Linked DNA regions of Saccharomyces cerevisiae S288C. The main gene of each other region encodes a partner of the protein of the gene in region 2 in a complex. Each region holds a gene or a part of one and is shown on either strand. Other genes may lie near its edges. The genes, in order: BUR6 and NCB2.

Region 1 (11,293 bases), on a different chromosome or scaffold from region 2:
TATGGTTATCAAATCTTCAGCGGGAAAATCTGATTTTAACAACTTAGATATTTCATTAGCGTACCTAAAAAATTTGTTGATGTTACGTGATTCCATACAGAACTTTAATATTCAATATACAGTTAATGAAACTTATCTGGATTTTTCTGGTGTTGAGGGGTTTTTCAAATCACTTAAAGAAAATGGTAGAAACGTTTTGAAAAAGACAAAGTCATCTTCAATATTGACCCTGGCAAGAGAGCTGGTTCCAAAAGTTGTAAACAATATGGTGGACGCCCGTACGGAACTCATATCTGAATTGAGAAACGTCATTAAAGATTTTACTGAAAGCACTTCTTTGGAGCTTATTGATGACACTTTAGATATCAATAGTGATGAAGATCTGTTAAGCAAAAACGTAAAATTAAGAGAGAATATAAAGGCCAGATTACCAAGAATATATGAACAGATATTGAACTATATCGATGATCAAGAGATTGTTACTAATTTATTAGACGCTGTGCAAGAGTTAATTACACAATCATATTCCAAATATTATGAAACTATAACTGAATTGGCAGAAAATGGAAAGTTTGCTAAGGATCAAGTCGCAGACGTAATGTACTTGGACGTCTTCACAGATTTTTTTGCCAAAGAGGTGGCGGATCTTTTAAGAAATGGTGATATTGATACCATAACGAAATAAACTTATGTGTAATTTCAACTTTTTCTATAATTTTCATGCATACATAAATCTGATATCGAAATAAAAATTACATTACACGGTAAAAAAAATGTTTTCAAAGCTTTTGATCGTAAGCGATTGAAAAAATATAACGAATACTCCGATACGGGGAGTCGAACCCCGGTCTCCACGGTGAAAGCGTGATGTGATAGCCGTTACACTATATCGGATTAAATTCATGAATTTTTTAGGGCTCCGAATATTGTAAATTCGTTAACAATTCAAGCAACTCATTTAAACAAGTAATCAATAAAGTCAAAATATATAAACAAATTAAGATCGCTGCCAAAGTAGTGATCAACCAAGAGACATTAAGGTTGTTATCTCGTGGACCACAACGCACCTAGATGCATGCAAACATAACAACAGTGGAATTCATTTGTTAGATTTGAATTTGCCTTAACATTGCGGTTCGTAAGTTTTCTAGGTGACAGATACCGGAGAAAGGTGAATCGAACTGTATCGTAATGTACTACTACTTACTCATATTTTTGGTTCAGTGGGATTTATTGACGTTAAGCTCACTTTTATCATCCTAGTTCAATGTAAAGATTTATGAGATTATTTAAAGAAGTTTTCAAAGTATTTGTATGATTAATAGTGTTGGAATAAAAATCAACTATCATCTACTAACTAGTATTTACGTTACTAGTATATTATCATATACGGTGTTAGAAGATGACGCAAATGATGAGAAATAGTCATCTAAATTAGTGGAAGCTGAAACGCAAGGATTGATAATGTAATAGGATCAATGAATATTAACATATAAAACGATGATAATAATATTTATAGAATTGTGTAGAATTGCAGATTCCCTTTTATGGATTCCTAAATCCTAGAGGAGAACTTCTAGTATATCTACATACCTAATATTATAGCCTTAATCACAATGGAATCCCAACAATTACATCAAAATCCACATTCTCTACAAATAGCCCTTCACCTTACATTGCACCACTGGTTGAACAGTCCATTTTTAAATCTCTCCCATTTTGTTATTGGTATAATGGGGCATGTAAACCTGTACGAGATCCCCAGAAATTACGATGTAAATACCTACATTGGTATTACAGTTTTTTATGTGAATTAAAATTTATCATCTTAAGATTATTACCACAGCACTATATTCTGAACATTATTCGAAATGATATAATTCAAATATTCCCTATCAGTATGTCCATAGGCGATAAAAATGTGATTAAGTAATTTTCGAGCCCCCGCGTTAAGCAAGCATCCATCAATAAAAACTTCATTAACACTCTTAGATAATCACTGTAAAAAATTCTAATTATCGGTTAAGGTTATAAAGTTAGGTAGCTGGTAAAAAAGCGATTGATCTCAGACATATCTTTTAAATGTTAAAACTCATCGCTCTTCAGGGAAATCTTACGCGCTATTTTTACAGTCGCGCGGGTCTTAACCATAATTTTTTACCGCTGCAAATATTTGAATGCTATAAGAGCAGATAAAAAATAGATTATAGAAATTAACCTGTTAAAACAATTATCCAAAATGTAGTAAGTATTTATCTTACGTAAAAAGTTCGATGCATATAAAATAAAATAGAATATATAAAGAGATACAACAGAGTCTCAAGAAGGAAAAAAGCTTGATGAACCCGTTATAAGTAGTAATGTGTATACTTAGCGCTATCCTGGTGAACGCGCATTTCCTTTCTTTTGAACTCATTCACCTCCATTTTGATTTCAATATTGGATATATTTTTTGTGGATGAGAGATTATTACCGACAAAAGTAGAAGGATTGGTAATGTCTTGGCTCTTTCCTTTAAAGAAATTATTCAAAAAGGTATTATCACACCTGCAATAGTCCGCGGCGGACCACGTATCGTTTACATAAATCTCATCCGCAAAGCGTAAGGATTTGACGGCATTTTTAGATTTCGATGACCCTGAAGAAGGGGCAGGTGTTGGCGAAGAAGATATGGATTGCATTGGTCCACGGGAAACCAACGATGACGAGGACGAAGAAGAAGGAGCCGGCGATGATATTGAAGAGTTTATGAACGAAGAGTTCGCAGCATCAGTAGTGGTAGAGAGAGAAGATGGCACAGAAGCAGTCAAAGGCAATTTGTTTAAATACACGGTAGACCATTCATCCTGCAAACGCTTTAAGAAAACGGTGCTCTTTTCCTCTGGAGCAATATCTTCATTAGACGAATCTTGACTACAGTAGTATAACTTTGTAGTTCGTTTATCAGACAGTGTAGGTCTGTTTGGTGACCTAGGGGGTGGAAGAACTGGTATCCTGTTATTATCTCCGAGTGCTGTCAATTCTTGTACTATGCCAGAGTCCTTAATTGAAGGTACAGCCGTTTCGTGATTGTTAACGGTTGAAAAACTCTGTTTTATAATTTCAACCGGTTGGTCAAGGGACGTTATCGGTTCTGGTACAACTCTCTCCGGATTTTTCCTTTTCTGCTTTGTTTTGCTATTCTCTTCTACGGAATCTGCAGAATTTGATGACTTGGACGACCAGATTTTCCTGAAGAAACGAGATATCTTTTTAGAATTTGATCTAATTGCCTTTGGAGACTCGGATTCAGATTTCTGATTAGCATCAGCAGCTTTCGTTTGTTGAGGAGAACGATTGTTCGTGCCAGTGGCAATGGAATCGTTATCTGCGGAAGATGGGCCTCCAGTCTGGGTCAAAGGCAACGATGAACTAGAAGGAGAGTCGGGAAAAGTCGAAGATGGCGGAAGCCTTGCTATCTGGTTTCTTGGCGTGAAATTTTCACCGTTGGGGAATTGAAAAGCGCTTTTCATCTGCTTTCTTTGTAATTGGAAAGGAGTAAGTTCCTTCCTAACACGTGGATTAGAATAGGTAGGCGGGGATGATCGGAGACTGTAGCGACTACCAGAGTACTTTTCGGGAATGGTCATTAAGGAGTGGCGTCTGGACGGGTTTGGTCTACAACGATATTGCGGGTGCGCATTGTGATCACTGGTAGTATGGTTGTTCATGTTCATGTTCATGTTCATGTTCATGTTCATATTCATATTCATATTCATATTCATGTTATCGTAGCGAGAGGGGCGATTTCTAGTTGAAGGCAGAGATGAAGTCGAGGAGGAAGCAAAGTTAGGTTTATTGTACTGGCGCATCGGTGCGCCATTACCATTATTGTCTGATCTATTAGCCACCAGAGTAGAGTGCCTCCTTGAGACGGTAGCATCCGGTATGTAGAACAGATCAATCGTAGACGCAGATCTAGCGTCCACAGCCCTAGGAATACTCAAAGAGTCTCTCCTTGAAGGAGAAGTGAGCGTGTGAAAATCATTACCATGCAAACTCCTCCTCGAGGAAGAACCCTGCTGTAACATGCTGATTAAGAGTGAGTGGAAGTAGTAGCGAGCGGTGGTGGCTATGTGTTTAGCCTGGTAAAATGAATCCTATTGTGTCAGCACGGAAAAAACAACAATAGCAATAATATGACAATAAACAAGTATTTTGCCGTAGCTCTCCTTCAGTTATTTGATGATGAGTGTAAACAGATTACTGTATATAGAGCAGTAGTAAAGAAAGCTGAAGTCAAGTGCAGATGAAAGACAAATACAAAAGGAGTACGCCTGTATTATATTTCCAAGTGCGTAATTTTGAGGTATTAATATTAAGTAATTATCAGAAGCAAGAAGCCAACAACCAGACCGCTTGGGCTTAAACTAGCATATCAGCACAATCTGCAAGTATACATTTCTTTGGTGTCTCGAACGCAACGCGGTGCAAACCGCGAGAACCTTAACGATTTTTCACACTCCTTCCTCCGTTGCTGCAAGAATCCTCGAGCTAGCCCTTCGTCCGCTTCCTTTGGCACTTGAAAGAAAAAATTAGCTTTTCTTTTTCCTCCTTTCTTTTTGTCTTTCTGGTGTAGGCACAGTTGGAAGGATGGGACACCTAAAAATCTTATTTAAGAAGTCACAGACGGTAACGCAGCGCCTCGTTTCTAAATCGTATAGCAGGCTGAGCGCCCGCACACCCACCTGCGGGAGTTACTCCGGGGATCGTATGGGGTGATGCATGCTCTTTCGTAAACCTTAAGAATAGCGTTAATTTTTTCCTAAATAGGAATACACATACTCATGCTATGTAACTGTAGAGAAAGGTACAGATTACATGAGGCGCCGGTTGTCGTTGATACATATGTGATTACGTTTCGTCCTTGATAATAGAGTATAATATATATGTGCAGACATATATAGATATAAATACATTGGTATATGGATATATATAGATGTGGTATTCATTTTACACTAAGTTACATCGCCCCGTTCTGCTCAGGCACTCTCTTCCTCCGGTTGTGTTTGGCCTTCTTCTACGCATAGACCTTCCCTTAAGAAATCGAATTTTTCGTCGTTTAAAATTGTTTTTTTTAGTATTTCGGCGGTTATTCTCTTGGTTCCTTGTCCTCTTGCCATCTCCCCGCTTTTTTTCACCAATAACGCTATAAAAAACTCTAGGGACCTGCCCGCTATTACGGGCGTGGCTTGTGAAACTTTTCCTATATCCTCGTCTGTCTGCATTATTTTCTTTACCTTGGCCGGAGGGAAGTGTGTCTTTATTCTGTCGAATACATCACCTAGCTCGTTGTTGTTATTCGAGTTGGTACCCATGTTACCTACTGGACTCCCTCCAGCATCAAGTGGTACCTCATGTTCAGGTTTTATTGGTGGTAGTTGTGTTGTAACTGGTACTTGATCTGCCATTAAGAATGTAGTGATGAGTACTGTAACTGGTTTTATTTTTTTTTTTGAATTTTTATTTTCGTGACGTGCTTTTTTTTCCGTTTTTGGTTTTAATGCCCCAAAATAAAATAATCCCCTTTTGTATACGTTTTTCTTTGCCTGCCTTTTTATTTCTCAGTGCATTGCCCTTTCTTTCGCAAATTCATGTGTTTTAAGGGTAATAGGAAATATCACGCTACCTGACAAAAAAAAAAAAAATTAATTTTGGCCTGGAAAATTCTTCTCCTTAAATACAAAAAGATTCTTTTTTATAGAATGTCATAATTCACGAACAGTTAAAAAAATATAAACACACAACGTAACACAGATGCCGGGTTACGATATCCGAAAAAGTTGATTAAAAGAAAAATAATCCTTCCCCGCCAGGACTTGAACCTGGAATCTTCTGGTTCGTAGCCAGACGCCGTGACCATTGGGCCACGAGGAATAGGATGTTCAGTGTGTTGTATTACGGGCTCGAGTAATACCGGAGTGTCTTGACAATCCTAATATAAACAGTCTTAGGGAAGTAACCAGTTGTCAAAACAGTTTATCAGATTAATTCACGGAATGTTACTTATCTTATATATTATATAAAATATGAATCATACTAAGTGGTGGAAGCGCGGAATCTCGGATCTAAACTAATTGTTCAGGCATTTATACTTTTGGGTAGTTCAGCTAGGGAAGGACGGGTTTTGTCTCATGTTGTTCGTTTTTCAATCCTTGCGTTTCAGCTTCCTCTAACATCGATGACAGCTTCTCATAACTTATGTCATCATCTTAACACCGTATATGATAATATATTGATAATATAACTATTAGTTGATAGACGATAGTGGATTTTTATTCCAACATACCACCCATAATGTAATAGATCTAATGAATCCATTTGTTTGTTAATAGTTTGAATGTTTTTATCGGAAGAGGTTTGGTCATTACGTCTGCAATATTCTTTTTGGTTTCGATATAGCATACGTGCAGATGATTTCCTGATACTTCATCTCTTAGTCTCATTGCTTTAGTACCAAAAAATCTGTTTCTAAATTTCTCTTCATTATTGGATATAATTATACTGATTGTAGATTTACTGTCGGTTAGTAATCCTTTAGTAATTGGTTTCTTGTTAAGTTCTTGCACAAGGTGACTGAGGTTATTTAATAATGGGACAGATTCACTTATCGCGTGTATTTCTGCTTCCGTAGTTGAAGTACATGTTAATGAAGCCTTGGTGGACTTTCCTCCAATTACTTTTCCATTAAGTAAATATATGTTGCCAATTTGTGATTTATAATACGGTTGGTTACCATACGATGCATCGCTTATAACAACTAATTTATTTGTTGGCTTAACAGGTTTGCTTTTGTGCCATATTAATTGCTTATCTCTCGTATTCCATATGAACTGTATCAATTCATATGTCATATCTAACACTTGCTTGGACGGAAATAGTATATGTTGTGCAAGTGTGTTGATGTAGTATAATAGGTCAAATCTAAATTTATATCCAACATATGATGCTAGACCTATCAGCTTTTGCATTTCATGTACCTTCATTTTGTAATCATCTTCTTCTAGCTCTAGTTCTTGCTGGTCTATATATAGACCTGGTTGACCTGGAGCGCTAAGTTTCCTTCCTTTTGGGTTCAAAGGTACGTTTAGTTTGGGTATTTTTTCAGTTAATGAGTTTTCCATACCTAATTTCATGTATTTACCTCTTTGATATTTGATTTCTAAGCCAAGTATGTCGTACTGAATTTCGTTATCACTTTCACCCAGATTTATTATCTTTGTATCGTATTGTTTCTTGAGTGTTGTTATGATTTTCTTATTTGCATTTAAGTCTTTGCTGAACAATATCATATCATCAACGAATAAGCAAATTGTTACTTGACTATTCTTAAATACGCATGACCATCCACGAACTTCTTCCATACCACACTGTTTTATCAGGTATGATTTGATAGTTTCGTACCAGTTCGCTCCACTTTGTTTCAATCCATAAAGTGATTTCTTCAAACGTATTAACTTATCATTCATTCCTAAATGTGGTGGAGGTCTTATGTATAGTTCTTCTTTGATGTCTGCATACAAATATGCCGAAGATATGTCTAATTGTGTAATATAGTAGTTATTGTCTAATGCAAGTGACAGGGATGTCATTAATGCATAGTGATGTACGGTATTGGATTGCATGCCTGGGTCGTAAGTGTCAGGATGTTGAATATCACCTCTTGCAACAAATCTAGCTTTATGAGTACCGTCACGTTTCCTGTTAAAGATAAACATTGAATTTATTACTCTTTTGGGGTCTATTTCTTTTCTGTCATAATATCTGTCAGTGTCCCAAGTTTTCATCTTCAACAGTTGATTGACTTCTTTGTGGTATGCCTGGATATATTTTTCTTTTTCTTTAATATCTTTATTATAGGTGATTGCCTCATCGTATCGTAAGGTTGTTCGTATTGGTTTGATTGATTTTACTGCTTTTACAGCTGCAATCAGGTGAATTCGTTTCTTCGATCTCGGAGGTTCTAAACTACGCATATTCTTAGTATTCCATGTGTCTCGTGATACCTTAATTTCAGTTTCATTATCTTCTAATGATCTTTTCTTACTGTTGATAGTAGTATAGGCATTAGAGTCACCAATACCACCCAAACTGGAATTAGTTTGATGAGAATTTATCGGTGGGAGTTCTTTAAAGGAGTCTGATAATTCGGTAGGAGGTTCTGGAGGCAGATCGGGGAGTGGAAGATCAGCGATAATAGATTCCTCTGTATTCTCCTTAGGACAGGTATCTGACGTTTTGATAGGAACGACGTGGTGTAGTGAATTACTTTCTGATGAGGAAGTATCGATCGAAGGTGAACGGTGTATGATCCTTTTCTCAGTCTCCTGTTCGCTTGTCTGCGGAACAGTTTTATTATTGGTACCACCCGTACTGGATATTGGTACGTTTGTATGATTAGTCTCATTGTCACTGTACGAGTCTGAGTGTCTGAAATCTTTAGATTTACTGGCGTGCGACGACTCATGTGTGTTAGATTGGGACATGGGAGCAAGTAAAGGAACATCTAATCTATGCATACCACCCGAACCGGTACTCTCGATATCGGAAATTTGGGGGGTGCTAGATCTCTTCTTAGATGGAAGAATATTAGATTCAGATATGTTGGGGTCAACTTCTCTGGGTGCGCGAATATTGGTTTTGGAAACACGTTTCGAATCTTCAGTATGAGTTGACGGAGGTGTGGAATCGGTTGGACTCACAGCTTTTGAAAGGACATTTCTCAGTTGCTCAGGATGTAGTTCAATGTCAGATTGGAAGTCATGGTCAGATTCTATGTTAAGATCATTGGATTGTTGGATCTCATTTGACGCAATGAACGAATGATATGAAGCAGTTAAACGGTTTAAGTCTTCATCGAAAGTGAGTGCGTCGTAATTGAATTGATCTAATCTGGATTCCTTGCCCTGAAGAATAACATAGTTAGTTGTATCTACTGTCTTCTTTAAGGACGGAAGATAGATGATATATCCATAAGAGTTTCGAGACGGATGTAGAGCGTAGCCTGGGATGCCACGAGGATGTATTTTGGAGTTAGGGTTGTGATCATTGACGATAACAGGTTGACCGAAAGGTAACAAAGTACTGATATCAAGTCCTGCCAAGCCAGCATGTTGTCTTGCAGATTTTTTGCTTTTAGGTGAAGCTAGTGAATTTCTCACAATAGTAGAAAATTCGATTGCAGAGAACCATAAATGGTTCGGTAAACCACTACATTGCAGTTGAGTACGGCAGTCATCTAATAAGGTACGGTTGAGCCGTTCAGCGACTCCATGTGCTCGGGAATCCGCTGTGGTTGTATAGCATGGAGTTATACCATTTTTTTCAAGGAATTTATGGAGAGTTCTGTTAGTATACTCAGAACCACGGTCCATTTGTATAACCAAGACACTGGCCTGAAACTGGTTTTTAATAAAAGCTAGTATCGTAGTAAAAACATCGAGGATAGAGTCCTCGCGACGGTCGTGTAATGGATAAACCCAACGGAATTTTGTTGTCTCATCAGTAAATGAGATGAAATAGGATGGTGCACTTTTTGGTAGGTTGTGAACTGGACCAAATATGTCAGTATGTAGGTATTGAAAGGGTTCGTATGAATTTTGGTATTTTAGTCGTGAACCTTTGATATGTCTGTGTTTGGTGCTTTTGCCGATTAAACAATCAGGACATTGATAGTCAATAGCACTAGACCAGTCGACATCTGATTCGTTAAAATACGTGATGGTGTTATTTTTAAGTGAGTATCGAATTGTCTGTGCATTGGCATGTGCAAGCATTCGATGAATGAAAGGATAAGGATATTTGCGTGTACTTTCACTTGTATGGACATTATTGATGGTGGGTACGGAGATATTTGATGGAAGCAAGTACTTTTTAGATACCCAGTAAAAGTCTCCATATTTTACGATAGGTGCAAGTACAGTGCCGTCAGACCGTTCTAAGACGTTTTTGGTAAAGCATGCTGTGATATCTACTGCAGCCAATTCATTCAAACTGAGTAAGTCATAGGCTATGTTAGGAGTGTGCAATACCTTTATTGATGTTTTGGTGTTGTCCTGGAAGTGAAATTGTAGGTCACCAATAGCGTTAATTGGTATATTTCTTTTTTGAGCATCAACTACGTTTATGTCAGGATTAGATGATGCTGAGTGTATGTGATGAGCAGATCTTATAAGGGTTCGTGATGCTCCTGAATCGAGAAGGAGGTGTCCAGGGAGTTCATCATCAGAATGATTAGTATGATTTACTGTAGATTCAGTAAGTTTCTGGCCTAAGATGAAGGTCGTGCTTATTGTTCAATTGAATCGGTTCAGTAGTTGATTTACTGATGGAATCGTTGTCCGTGCTGGGAGAGTTATTAGATGTGGATACATTGTGAGCCCTGGCTGTTTTCGATTTCGAATTATTTGTTTTTTGAGGATTCCGAGCTATAACTTTGGGTTTGGTTGTATTCGTATAGCTGCGAGAATCATTCTTCTCATCACTCGGATTTCTCCTGTAATTAGGTTTGCTGTTTCTCGATCCCTGTTGTTCTTCATAAATAGCATGGATATCTAAGAACAGTTCAGCGACTGTCATATTTAGATGTCGATGACGTGTGTAGCGTAAAAATTTATATTCGCCAGATAGACCTCTCATAATTAATTGGCATGCGACCTTGTTATTGATATGAATGCCATTATTGTTCAGTCTGTCGATAATGTTTGTGACTTTTGTTTCAAATGCATCTGCAGGTGTACTGCCATTATATTGCAAATTTGCCAGGGTCACAATGTCGTTTGCCTCTTGGGTATCAGATTGCATTTTTTCAATACTTTTGGAAAGAATTTTCATGATATCCGTATAATCAACGGATAGGATGTCTTTGACCCAGGTAGGTAGGAATTGAGAGGGAGCAAATATTTGAAAAGTGTTATACAAGAAGGTGAGTTCATCATCAGTGATCTGACGTACGGGTTTTCCGTTTACTGTCGGAATAATACCACCGAGATTCGAGTTTTGTAAAAATTTGATGTATGTTTTAACCCAATTTGGAAAATCATTAGGTGAGGTTAACATTGGTGGTGGTCTGACATATTTTTTAGTGGATGTCATATCAGAGTCCGCTGAGGATGAATCAGTAAATGTATTACCTGACTCAGGTGATGGAGTGCTCAGAGGCGTTCCAACTGATGATGGATACTGCGGAAACTGTGATTGTGGCCCAGGTGGAAAGTACATAGGCGACATTTGATAAGGTGTATACGGAATCATA
Region 2 (11,223 bases):
ACAGATCTAATGAAATATTGTACCTCATTTTGAAGTCATTCAAGTATGCATGTTTGAACAACTTGCCTCAATACTTCAGCCAACCTGAAAGAATTATGTCATGGGTGCAACTACATTTGTATTTATGTTCCAAACCATTACCAGTCGAAGTAATGGAACTGGATCCCGCAGATAGGTCCCTAGACAAAAGGGTTAAAGTGAACAAATGGGGGTTCGGTAACTTAAACAGATTCCTGCAAAGATACAACAAAATTACAAAGGCCATCACCAAGGAATTTATCGACTATATCTTCAATACTATTGTTCCTATAATTCTTCGAGAATTTTTTAAGGATATTGAAGCTTGGGGTAATAATTCACTATGGTTATCCGATTCCTCTTTGTATTTCTTAATTTCATTCCTAGAGAAATGTGTTACAATAGATCAACTTTATCCTTTAATTGAGCCACATTTACAAATTATTTTTGAGAACGTCATCTTCCCATGTTTGTGTGCTAATGAACAATCCATCGAATTATTAGAAGATGACCAAGAGGAATATACCAGGCGTTATTTTGACATTAACAGAGAAGGCTCTACGCCAGATGCTGCTTCAGCAGATTTCATATTCTTGATTGGGTCCAAACGTCCTGAGAAACTGAACAATATTTTACCGTTCATTAATGATATTTTTACTAGATTCGATGCCAATTCCAGTGATATTAACATGGCATTTAAAGAAGAGGGTGCTTTGAGAACATTGTCTAACTTGTTTTCGTTTATAGATGAGCCATCCGTTCTGGAGAATATTTTTGGACACTTCATCGTGCCATTGTTATCGCAGGATAAGTACATGTTTTTGGTTGCAAGAAGTTTGGAAACGATAGCGCTGTATTCGGAAGAATTTAAAGATATGAACATATTGTCACAATTATTTGAGTTAACATATACCAACTTCTTAAACAGTAACGTTTTACCAGTCCAAATTGAGGCCGCAGATGCCATTAAATGTTTAATTGTATCCAATCCTCAAATCCACCCAGCGGTCTCTGCTCATGTTCCAGGTATGATGGAAAAGCTATTGAAATTGTCTAAAATCTTTGAAATCGATATCTTATCTGAAGTCATGGAAGCATTGGTGGAGAGATTTTCAGATGAACTATCCCCATTTGCTAAAGATTTAGCTTCAAACCTAGTCGAACAATTTTTACGTATTGCTCAAGCATTGGTAGAAAATCCATCGGAAACCTACAGCGCAAGTGACCAAGAGCAGGAAATCCAGGCCAGTGGATTGTTACAAACAATGACTACTATGGTCATGTCAATGAATAAAGTTCCATTAATCGAGTCCTTAGCTCCCGTGGTCAAGTTTGTTGTACTTCATGCACAAATTTCTTTTATTACGGAAGCTGTCGACTTACTGGATGCTTTAACTATTTCTTCGCATCTGCTTTATAACCAAATTGCACCACCAATATGGGAGTTGTTACATGATATATTGGATTCTTTCCAAACTTATGCCATGGACTATTTTGAGGCCTACAGTATTTTTTTTGAAACCATCGTGATGACCGGCTTCCCACAAGATCAAACTTATGTTCAACCTCTGCTAGAAATTCTCTCTGCTAAACTGGAAAGTGAAGTTGACTACGACATCGAGCATGTTATGCAAATTCTAATGTACTTCGCACTGTCCATGAGAGACATTCCATTATTCAGCAAAGCCATCAAAGTATCCACTAATGATGAGCTAGGATTGGACTCTAAATGCATCGTTAAACTGGGACTGGCCAATTTGTTTGCTAAACCAATCGAAACTTTACAAATAATGGAAAATGAAGGTTTTACTATAAATTTCTTTACCAATTGGTTTAATGAAAAGTTCTACAGTGTCTTCGCCATCAAATTACAAGTCCTGGTCATTTTAACCCTTTTGAAGATGCCTGAAGTTCCTAATAGTGTCAGCCCACTACTAAATAACCTGACCAATAAACTGGTGGAATTGACATTATCATTGCCAAAGGCAATTAGAAACCGTGATGCTGTTACCGAGGGCAAATCCTTAGAAGGAGACCTGACCCCAGAAGAAGAAGAAGAATACTTTATCGAATGTGATGATGATATGAAGGAGACAGTGTTAGACCAAATTAATGTTTTCCAGGAAGTACATACCTTTTTCAAGAATTTGCAAAACGAAGATGCCGGTAAGTACGAAAAAATCATAAATTATCTGGATGAATCTAAGAGAGATTCCTTGCAGGTAATTCTGGAATTTGTTTCTCAACACTGAGGAGAACACAAAAAAAATAGTGGAATGTGATAGTTTGAAATAAGGATATTAGTTTATACTCTAATATACAAATATAAAAGTTGTTTCTTTTTCGTTCTTTTTTTTTTTTGGACTTGTCTTCGTTTTTATTACATACATGCATGCGCTTAACATATTCCCATGTGGTTTATTTTCGTATATAGCATTACTTTGTTTAGAAGCTTCTATTCAAGAAGAATCCTCCGACTTAACCGGATCAGATACACTATTGTGGTGTAATCTGGACCTTGACTGTCTAAACAACTCCTCTTGTTGTCGTAGCAGCTCTTCTTCCGAGAGACCTGACTTCTTGAACTTGGAATCCCTAGTTTCTTTCACCTTCTGGGAACCCTTAAAATTCAATAATATTTCCTCTAAGAATGGTATAAACTCATTATACTCCAACTCTTCTAGCGCTTTGATCACGTGCTCGGGCGCTATGGTTTTCTTAGCCTCGTTGTCCGCCATTTCGGAAGCCATCGAGGACAGGATCATTATGAATTCTATGCCGGAGTTGATGATGATTTCTCTTGCATCCTTGGTAAACATCAAATCCTGGTCCAGTATTTCAGATATCATCTTTTGTACGGTCGCTAAGATCATTCAGTGTTTTCTCTAAGTTAGTATAACCGCTCAGTACCCGCATCAAAGCTTGAGTTTTGCAACAACAATATAACTAACATACCCTTGGGAAGCGACACATTATCGGAGTCTCCAGCCATCAATTAATTAATAGGTACAACTGTATTAGTAAATATCGTTATGATTTCTTGCCCACCTTATACTGGTAACTCTGCACGATAGAAATCGACAAGGCGAGCAGAGGGCGAAAAGCGCGACCAAAAACCGCTTCCATTTATATAGGAGGGAGAGTGCAGCGGGCTGGGCGTTTTAAAGTGGTGCAAGAGTTAATTGCACATACTGGAATACGCCAAAGATAAGAGCCCGAGCTGATTAAACCAGATCGTAATTTTTGCGGCGACTATTCGCATGAACAGGCTATGCTGCATAGTGGTGGCATTTCTTTACAATAGTTTTGGTTGAACGTGTTGTACAGTTCCCCTTATTCTTTGATTGTCATTTAACACGGGGATGAGCTTCTTGACAAAAAAATTTTATCCAATTTTTTTTCATTTCTTTTTCTAATCTTTCGCAGCTGAAGCGATGAGGTGAAAAAATTAACAAGTATTGGATAGGATATATGTATGTAAAGATAGATGCAGAGCATATATAGTTTAAACTTGGCTTAGCAAGAGGGTAAAAGACACATTTGCCTTATAATTGTTCATTACCGATGGATTCTCCTGTTCTACAGTCCGCTTATGACCCATCAGGTCAGTATTTGTGTTATGTCACTGTAGCTTTGGACAAGCAACGCGTTGGTGTACAGCCCACTCAAAGGGCCACTTCCTCCGGAGTTGATACAGTGTGGAATGAGAATTTTCTGTATTTAGAGGACTCGAAATTGAAGGTGACGTGCTTAAAATGGGTAAACCTGGCTTCTTCCGACACAGTGGCTATTATATTGGGTATGAATAACGGTGAAATTTGGCTATATTCCGTATTGGCCAACGAAGTCACCTATAAATTCACTACGGGGAATTCTTACGAAATCAAAGACATAGACTTGATGGGTAATCAACTGTGGTGTATCGACTCCAGCGACGCATTCTATCAGTTCGATCTGTTACAATTCAAACTGTTACAACATTTTAGAATAAACAACTGCGTTCAATTGAATAAACTAACCATTGTTCCAGCAGGCGATTCTGTTGCACAACTTTTGGTTGCATCCCATTCCATTTCTTTAATAGACATCGAAGAGAAAAAAGTCGTAATGACATTTCCCGGTCATGTATCTCCAGTGTCCACATTGCAAGTTATAACTAATGAATTTTTCATATCAGGCGCAGAGGGTGATAGATTCTTGAACGTATATGATATTCATTCCGGTATGACCAAATGCGTCCTTGTGGCTGAATCAGATATCAAGGAGTTATCTCATTCAGGCCAAGCCGATTCTATCGCAGTCACTACCGAGGATGGTAGCTTGGAAATTTTTGTTGATCCATTGGTATCGAGTTCAACAAAGAAAAGAGGCAACAAGTCCAAAAAATCCAGCAAAAAGATTCAAATCGTCAGTAAAGACGGCAGGAAAGTTCCAATTTATAACGCATTTATTAATAAAGACCTTTTGAACGTATCGTGGTTACAAAATGCTACTATGCCTTACTTCAAGAACTTGCAGTGGAGAGAAATCCCTAATGAATATACCGTCGAAATTTCCCTAAATTGGAATAATAAAAATAAGTCCGCCGATCGCGATCTACACGGTAAAGATCTTGCCTCAGCCACCAACTACGTGGAAGGTAATGCAAGAGTCACCTCTGGAGATAACTTCAAGCATGTTGATGACGCTATAAAGAGCTGGGAAAGAGAATTGACTTCTTTGGAACAAGAACAGGCCAAGCCCCCACAGGCCAATGAACTATTAACAGAAACATTTGGTGATAAGCTAGAATCAAGCACCGTCGCAAGGATTAGTGGGAAAAAAACAAATTTAAAAGGTTCCAATCTCAAGACTGCTACGACAACCGGGACGGTAACAGTAATTCTGTCGCAAGCACTACAATCAAATGATCATTCACTGTTGGAAACAGTGCTCAATAATCGTGACGAGAGGGTCATTAGGGATACTATCTTCCGTCTGAAACCAGCACTGGCTGTCATTCTCTTAGAAAGGTTGGCAGAGAGGATTGCAAGACAAACCCACCGTCAAGGCCCATTGAATGTTTGGGTAAAATGGTGTTTAATCATACACGGTGGCTATTTGGTTTCTATTCCAAATTTGATGTCTACTCTATCGTCGTTACATTCCACCTTGAAAAGGCGTTCCGACTTATTACCAAGGCTACTAGCACTGGATGCAAGGTTAGACTGTACTATAAATAAATTCAAAACTTTGAACTATGAAGCAGGCGACATCCACTCATCCGAACCAGTTGTCGAAGAGGACGAAGACGACGTTGAATATAACGAAGAACTCGATGATGCCGGCCTTATAGAGGACGGTGAAGAATCTTATGGCAGTGAAGAAGAAGAAGAAGGTGATAGTGACAACGAAGAGGAACAGAAGCATACCTCATCTAAGCAAGATGGCCGTTTAGAAACGGAGCAGAGCGACGGCGAGGAGGAAGCCGGATATAGTGACGTTGAGATGGAATAGAGGATATCATGCATAAAATGCTTTCACGCATCAGAATACAAAAATAATCTCTAGGCACATAAATACTTATATAGAGTTCACCACATAATGTAAGAAAAGAAAAAAGAAAAAAAAAGATCACGAAAGTATCCCACGCGAAGAAGATCTGTCAAAAGACCCCCACAATCGTTTATCCTTTTTGAACTGCATCTGGCATCGTTAACAGTAAGGCCATCTGGAACATCAAGCAAGCACTCCACTTTTACGTCACAACCATAGTTGGTTAACTAAGAAAAGACAGTACATATTTCCCTTCCGAGTCACTTATTTTTTTTTTCTTCTGAAAAAATTAATTAGATTAATTTCAATTAATATCATTTCCGCTTATCTGACTTCTTTCATTTTTTTTCTCTATATTTCGCGTTTACTAGGAAAGAAAAGGAAAAAAAATTTTTCCCCCTCCATCTGTCCCAAATCGGGTAGCGATGAGCTGCTATAGAATTTTCTATTTAAACATGTTTGATAAGCCCAATTTCCGTTAGATTTTGTTCCCCCTTCGCAGTTTGGTTTGCCGTAACTTTTTTATTTTAGTCTCCATCTAGCTGGAGTAATACGATGTAGTGCCTTGTAATCTTTCTTATTTTTATATTACCGTTCGTGTTCATTATATCCATTACGTTCCCATAATGTCGGCAAACGATAAGCAATACATCTCGTACAACAACGTACATCAACTATGTCAAGTATCCGCTGAGAGAATTAAGAATTTCAAGCCGGACTTAATCATTGCCATTGGTGGTGGTGGTTTCATTCCTGCTAGGATCCTACGTACGTTCCTAAAGGAGCCCGGCGTGCCAACCATCAGAATTTTTGCTATTATTTTGTCTTTGTACGAAGATTTGAACAGTGTAGGCTCAGAAGTTGAGGAAGTTGGTGTTAAGGTTAGCAGAACACAATGGATTGATTACGAGCAATGTAAATTAGATCTAGTCGGCAAGAACGTTCTTATCGTTGACGAAGTCGATGACACCCGTACCACACTTCATTACGCTTTGAGTGAATTGGAAAAGGATGCAGCTGAACAGGCAAAGGCTAAAGGTATCGATACTGAAAAGTCTCCAGAGATGAAAACAAACTTCGGGATTTTTGTTCTACACGATAAGCAAAAACCAAAGAAAGCAGATTTGCCTGCCGAAATGTTGAATGACAAGAACCGTTATTTTGCAGCTAAAACTGTTCCAGACAAGTGGTATGCATATCCATGGGAATCTACTGACATTGTTTTCCATACTAGAATGGCTATTGAACAGGGCAATGACATCTTTATTCCTGAGCAGGAACACAAGCAATGATAGACATATCATATCCTTCAGTAACTTGAATCATACAGCAGAATTTGTACAATAGACAACGCATATAACTGCGACCATATGTATACGTATAACTAATTATTATCTCAAAGTTTATTCCCTTAGCCTCACCGGTAACCTGTGAGGCGCGATTACGTTTTCCCTCTGTTCACCACCACGTAACGCGATATTTGACACATACGTGACAACTACTTTTGATGGAATCTGCTGATTTTTTTACCTCACGAAACTTATTAAAACAGATAATTTCCCTCATCTGCAAGGTTGGGGAAGGGTTGGACAGCAATAACCAGCGACTGTTTGAAGAAAAGATGACTGTTAGTAAAATACCCATATGGCTAGATTGTGATCCTGGTCATGATGATGCCATAGCCATTTTATTAGGCTGTTTCCATCCAGCTTTCAATCTTCTAGGAATCAGCACGTGTTTTGGTAACGCACCGCCAGAGAATACTGACTACAACGCCCGTTCTCTTTTGACTGCGATGGGCAAAGCACAAGCGATTCCAGTTTATAAAGGCGCACAGAGACCTTGGAAAAGGGAACCTCATTATGCTCCTGACATTCATGGTATATCAGGTTTAGACGGCACTTCTTTGCTACCTAAGCCAACATTTGAGGCAAGAACTGATAAAACGTATATTGAGGCCATTGAAGAGGCGATTCTAGCTAACAATGGAGAGATATCCTTTGTGTCTACTGGTGCACTTACCACATTAGCAACAGTTTTTAGGTGTAAACCATACCTAAAAAAATCTGTCAAATATATTAGCATTATGGGGGGTGGACTCCATGGTCTAGGAAACTGTAACCCAAATCTTTCTGCTGAATTCAACGTTTGGATTGATCCTGACGCAGCGAATTACATATTCCGTGATCCCGATGTAAAGGACAAATGTATAGTAGTTCCTCTAAATTTAACTCACAAGGCCATAGCTACTTACAAGGTTAACGAAATGATATACAACGAAAAGAATAACAGCAAGTTACGAGAATTGTTTTTGGAGCTTTTTCAATTTTTTGCTCATACCTACAAGGATATGCAAGGATTTGAATCGGGCCCACCTATACATGATCCGGTAGCTTTGATGCCGCTTTTGGAATTTTATGGGTGGGATCCATCGTCTGCGGTTGGATTTCGCTACAAGAGAATGGACATATCCTGCATTGATGATGTTTTCAACGAAAACTCAGGGAAAATTATCATTGAAAAAGAATATCCAAATGACAGTGATGTTGGTACAATAATTGGTCTCGATTTGAATATCCAGTACTTTTGGGATCAGATTTTTGAAGCATTAAATAGAGCAGACAAAATGTCAACGATTGGATAAGAACTTCTATAAAAGGCTTTTTTTTTTTCTACTGACCTTTGGTCAGGTTCTGTTCCTTTCATTTTCACTGGATACAAAGAAGTTTCACTAAAAGTTGTCGCGATTGTATACATATATGCGTATATATACAATTCTACATGTTTTATATTTATTCCATTATATTCTCGTTAAATTTTAACTTTAAATTAAGAGGGCAAAGAGGCCCAGCGGGAGTTAATTTTTCTTCCCATTCAGGGTCAAGACTCCATCGAAACTGTTTCAACATTTCAGCCAAAGAAATTCTCATTTCTGTTAGGGCTAGTTTTTCCCCTAGGCATGCTCTTCGGCCTCCATGGAACCCAGTCACAGCACATCTGTTTTTCGCCATTCTCCAGTTTTTCCTTATGGTTTCGATATCTGAACCCCATCTTTCTGGTTTAAAATCATCTGCTGTTGTGCCCCAAGTTTTGGGATCGTGTGAGGTTCCAAAGTTGTTGTACCCGACATATACGCCCTTGGGTATAACAATTTCCGCCCCCAACTTGCACGTTTTGGTAGTACATCTATTAATAATTGTGCTCAAAGGAGGATACATTCTTACTACTTCGAAGAGAAAAGCATTTAATAAGGGTAAATCTGCTAAGCCTTTTGGATCAGTGATGCCGTTTACTTCCTTCCTGAGTTTCTCTTGCCATTCATTTGAATATTTGGCTAGAAGGTAGAGTGAACTATTAAATAGCAACTGCGGGTTTTCATGGCCAGCGACAAGGATAATGACGATATTATCGGTCAACTGTTTGTAGTCGATTATTTCGTTATTGTGAGCACGAATTAGATCACTGGCAGCAAAAGTAGTTTGTTCAAATTTGTAATTATTGACTAATTCATCTTGAACTCTTTTAACGAGAAGTTCTCTAAAACTAACAACATCCTTGAAGGCTTTTTTTCTTGAAGGAATAGGAAGAACATCAAGGAATGGAAAAGTTAAAAAGAATGGATGAAATATTTGCTTTTTAATACGAATCAAATGCTCGTGGAAAGCATTTTTTTCATGTGTTAGAGCACCAAAATCAAATCCAAGGGCAACCTGTGAAATGTTATCCAATGCCATTCTCTGGGATAAAGGTCCCATAGGGATCGAAGTTTGTCCTTCTAGGAGTCTGTTTTTTATCAAAGTGCATAAAATTTTTGCATTTTTGAATATAGGTGCATCGTCAAAATGTTGGAGCCCGTTTGTCACAGCATTTCTGTAGTTTCTCCAAACTGCACCATACGCGCTAATGACATTGTCCCCTGTGTAAGCGGCAAGAGCACTGTATGGGATTTTCTTTTGATTACCGCTCTTCGCAAAAGTATCTTCATCTTTGAATATTTGTGCTAGATACTCAGAACGAGAAACGAGAATATTCCACCGTGAACCAAAGAAAAATTTTACAGCACCGTATTTTTCCATTGATTCCCTAATATAAAGATCGTATAGCTCCGTTTGATCAATGGGAAATATTACTGGTAAAAATACTACATAAAATGGGATGGTGGGTATATTTTTGGGAAAGTTTAGAGGTGGGACAATGATTGCAAAGGCGACATAGGAAAGAGTAAGAAATAAAATCAAACACAGAAGCTTTAACAACTCCATTTTTAATGCTTTTTTCGATTTATTCTCTTAGTCTGAATCAAATACCATTTTGAAAAAACGAAAATATTTCAAGAAAATTAATGTATTTTTTTGCACTACCTAATATACTATTCGCATCAGGATGACCAGTCATTCCTCTTGTGGTCCGTGGCTTGTAATTTTCGGGAAAGATAGAAATCACTGCATTCATCGAAAGAAGTGAAAATAAATTGTATCGGGGAAGTAATGAGGGGTGGAATACGTAATTGCTTCTCAATTTGATAATACAAGTTACAGTCTTTTTATTGAGAGTCCCTGGAAGGAAAATTATTGATGTTTACCTTTTTTTGCGACGCGCGTCTGGCCATAAATAAAAGGGTTCTCTTGCCAAGAAAAAATAAAAAGGCGCCTTAAGGGACCTTCTATGACAAATATGGTGAGGTATGCAACCTCAATGAAGAGCAATGAGAAAATTTAAGGGGTAAGTAAGCATCGGAATTTGTTGTTTCCTAACAATTTGTCTAATTTACTCAATAATATCAGGAGAATTGATCGAAAAAAGCAAACCAGGAACCCCTCACAAATAAGGGAACATAAAGTAATTGCTCGTCTTTACATACATGGCACTCAATCCCAGACGTCGCGTGCTAAAAATCCTTATATTATTGGCCCCTCAGGAGTTTATTTGAATTTTGATTGCATTGCTTTCAGTGGACAGTATATCATAAAATTTGCAAGGGCATAGTGCCTGCCCTACGATGTTGTAAAACAATTTCTGAAAATAGGTTCAGAATCAAAAATGATGTATAAATATTGAAATAAATTTTCACATAAATTGTGCTCCTCCGCAAAGTCTTGACTAAATAAACAATTTGTTAATATCCTAATTCGGTAAAGCTTTGTCGAGACATTAACAAAAATGACATTTACTAGCAACTTGCCCTCAAGCTCCGAGCAGTCAATATCACCACCTGCCTCTTCATTTTCTTCATCGACTGATACGTTGAAAGATATTGATATTCCCCATAATGGGGCCGATTTGTCTACATATAGTAAATTTCTGGCCCTGTATTGCAGAAGCGACAAATGTGACGATTTTTACTCTTTAGAGGAAAAACAGAATTGTAAATTTGGAGACCAATGGCTCGACTTTATCAACACTATTCACAATCTGGACTTTTCTGAATCCGAAGTAAGTGGACGGGTTTCTGAAAGAATTTTGCCAGCTTCTTTAGCAAATAAATTTACCAATAATTTAGGAGTGGCAATAAAGATTTCTGAATATACACGCGATGACGAACGCCAGATTCGTGGGTGTGTTACAACAGTTGAGAATGAAAATTCTTTCAATAACTGGTTCGTATATCATATTTTAGACCAATCTCAATTATCTCTAAGTGAACATCCAATTGTAACCAAAGAAGTTAAG

What was found.
Region 1: NCB2 (region 2) and BUR6 share a complex: the UniProt entries of both Saccharomyces cerevisiae proteins name them as parts of the NC2 (negative cofactor 2) complex.

Annotation. Positions count from the first base shown.
Region 1 is NC_001137.3:486,509-497,801, forward strand, and holds BUR6 (negative cofactor 2 transcription regulator complex subunit BUR6), read right to left. Parts: upstream 5,451-11,293; coding exon 5,022-5,450; downstream 1-5,021. Other genes in the region: Golgi transport complex subunit COG3, read left to right, coding at 1-685; YER158C (uncharacterized protein), read right to left, coding at 2,349-4,070; YER159C-A (gag protein), read right to left, coding at 10,294-11,293. UniProt on the Saccharomyces cerevisiae protein: Component of the NC2 complex which represses RNA polymerase II transcription through binding to SPT15/TBP and thereby inhibiting the assembly of the preinitiation complex.
Region 2 is NC_001136.10:1,263,889-1,275,111, forward strand, and holds NCB2 (negative cofactor 2 transcription regulator complex subunit NCB2), read right to left. Parts: upstream 3,011-11,223; coding exon 2,974-3,010; intron 2,882-2,973; coding exon 2,478-2,881; downstream 1-2,477. Other genes in the region: SXM1 (Sxm1p), read left to right, coding at 1-2,270; UTP5 (Utp5p), read left to right, coding at 3,583-5,514; HPT1 (hypoxanthine phosphoribosyltransferase), read left to right, coding at 6,180-6,845; URH1 (trifunctional uridine nucleosidase/nicotinamide riboside hydrolase/nicotinic acid riboside hydrolase), read left to right, coding at 7,175-8,197; DIT2 (putative cytochrome P450), read right to left, coding at 8,346-9,815; DIT1 (Dit1p), read left to right, coding at 10,714-11,223. UniProt on the Saccharomyces cerevisiae protein: Component of the NC2 complex which represses RNA polymerase II transcription through binding to SPT15/TBP and thereby inhibiting the assembly of the preinitiation complex.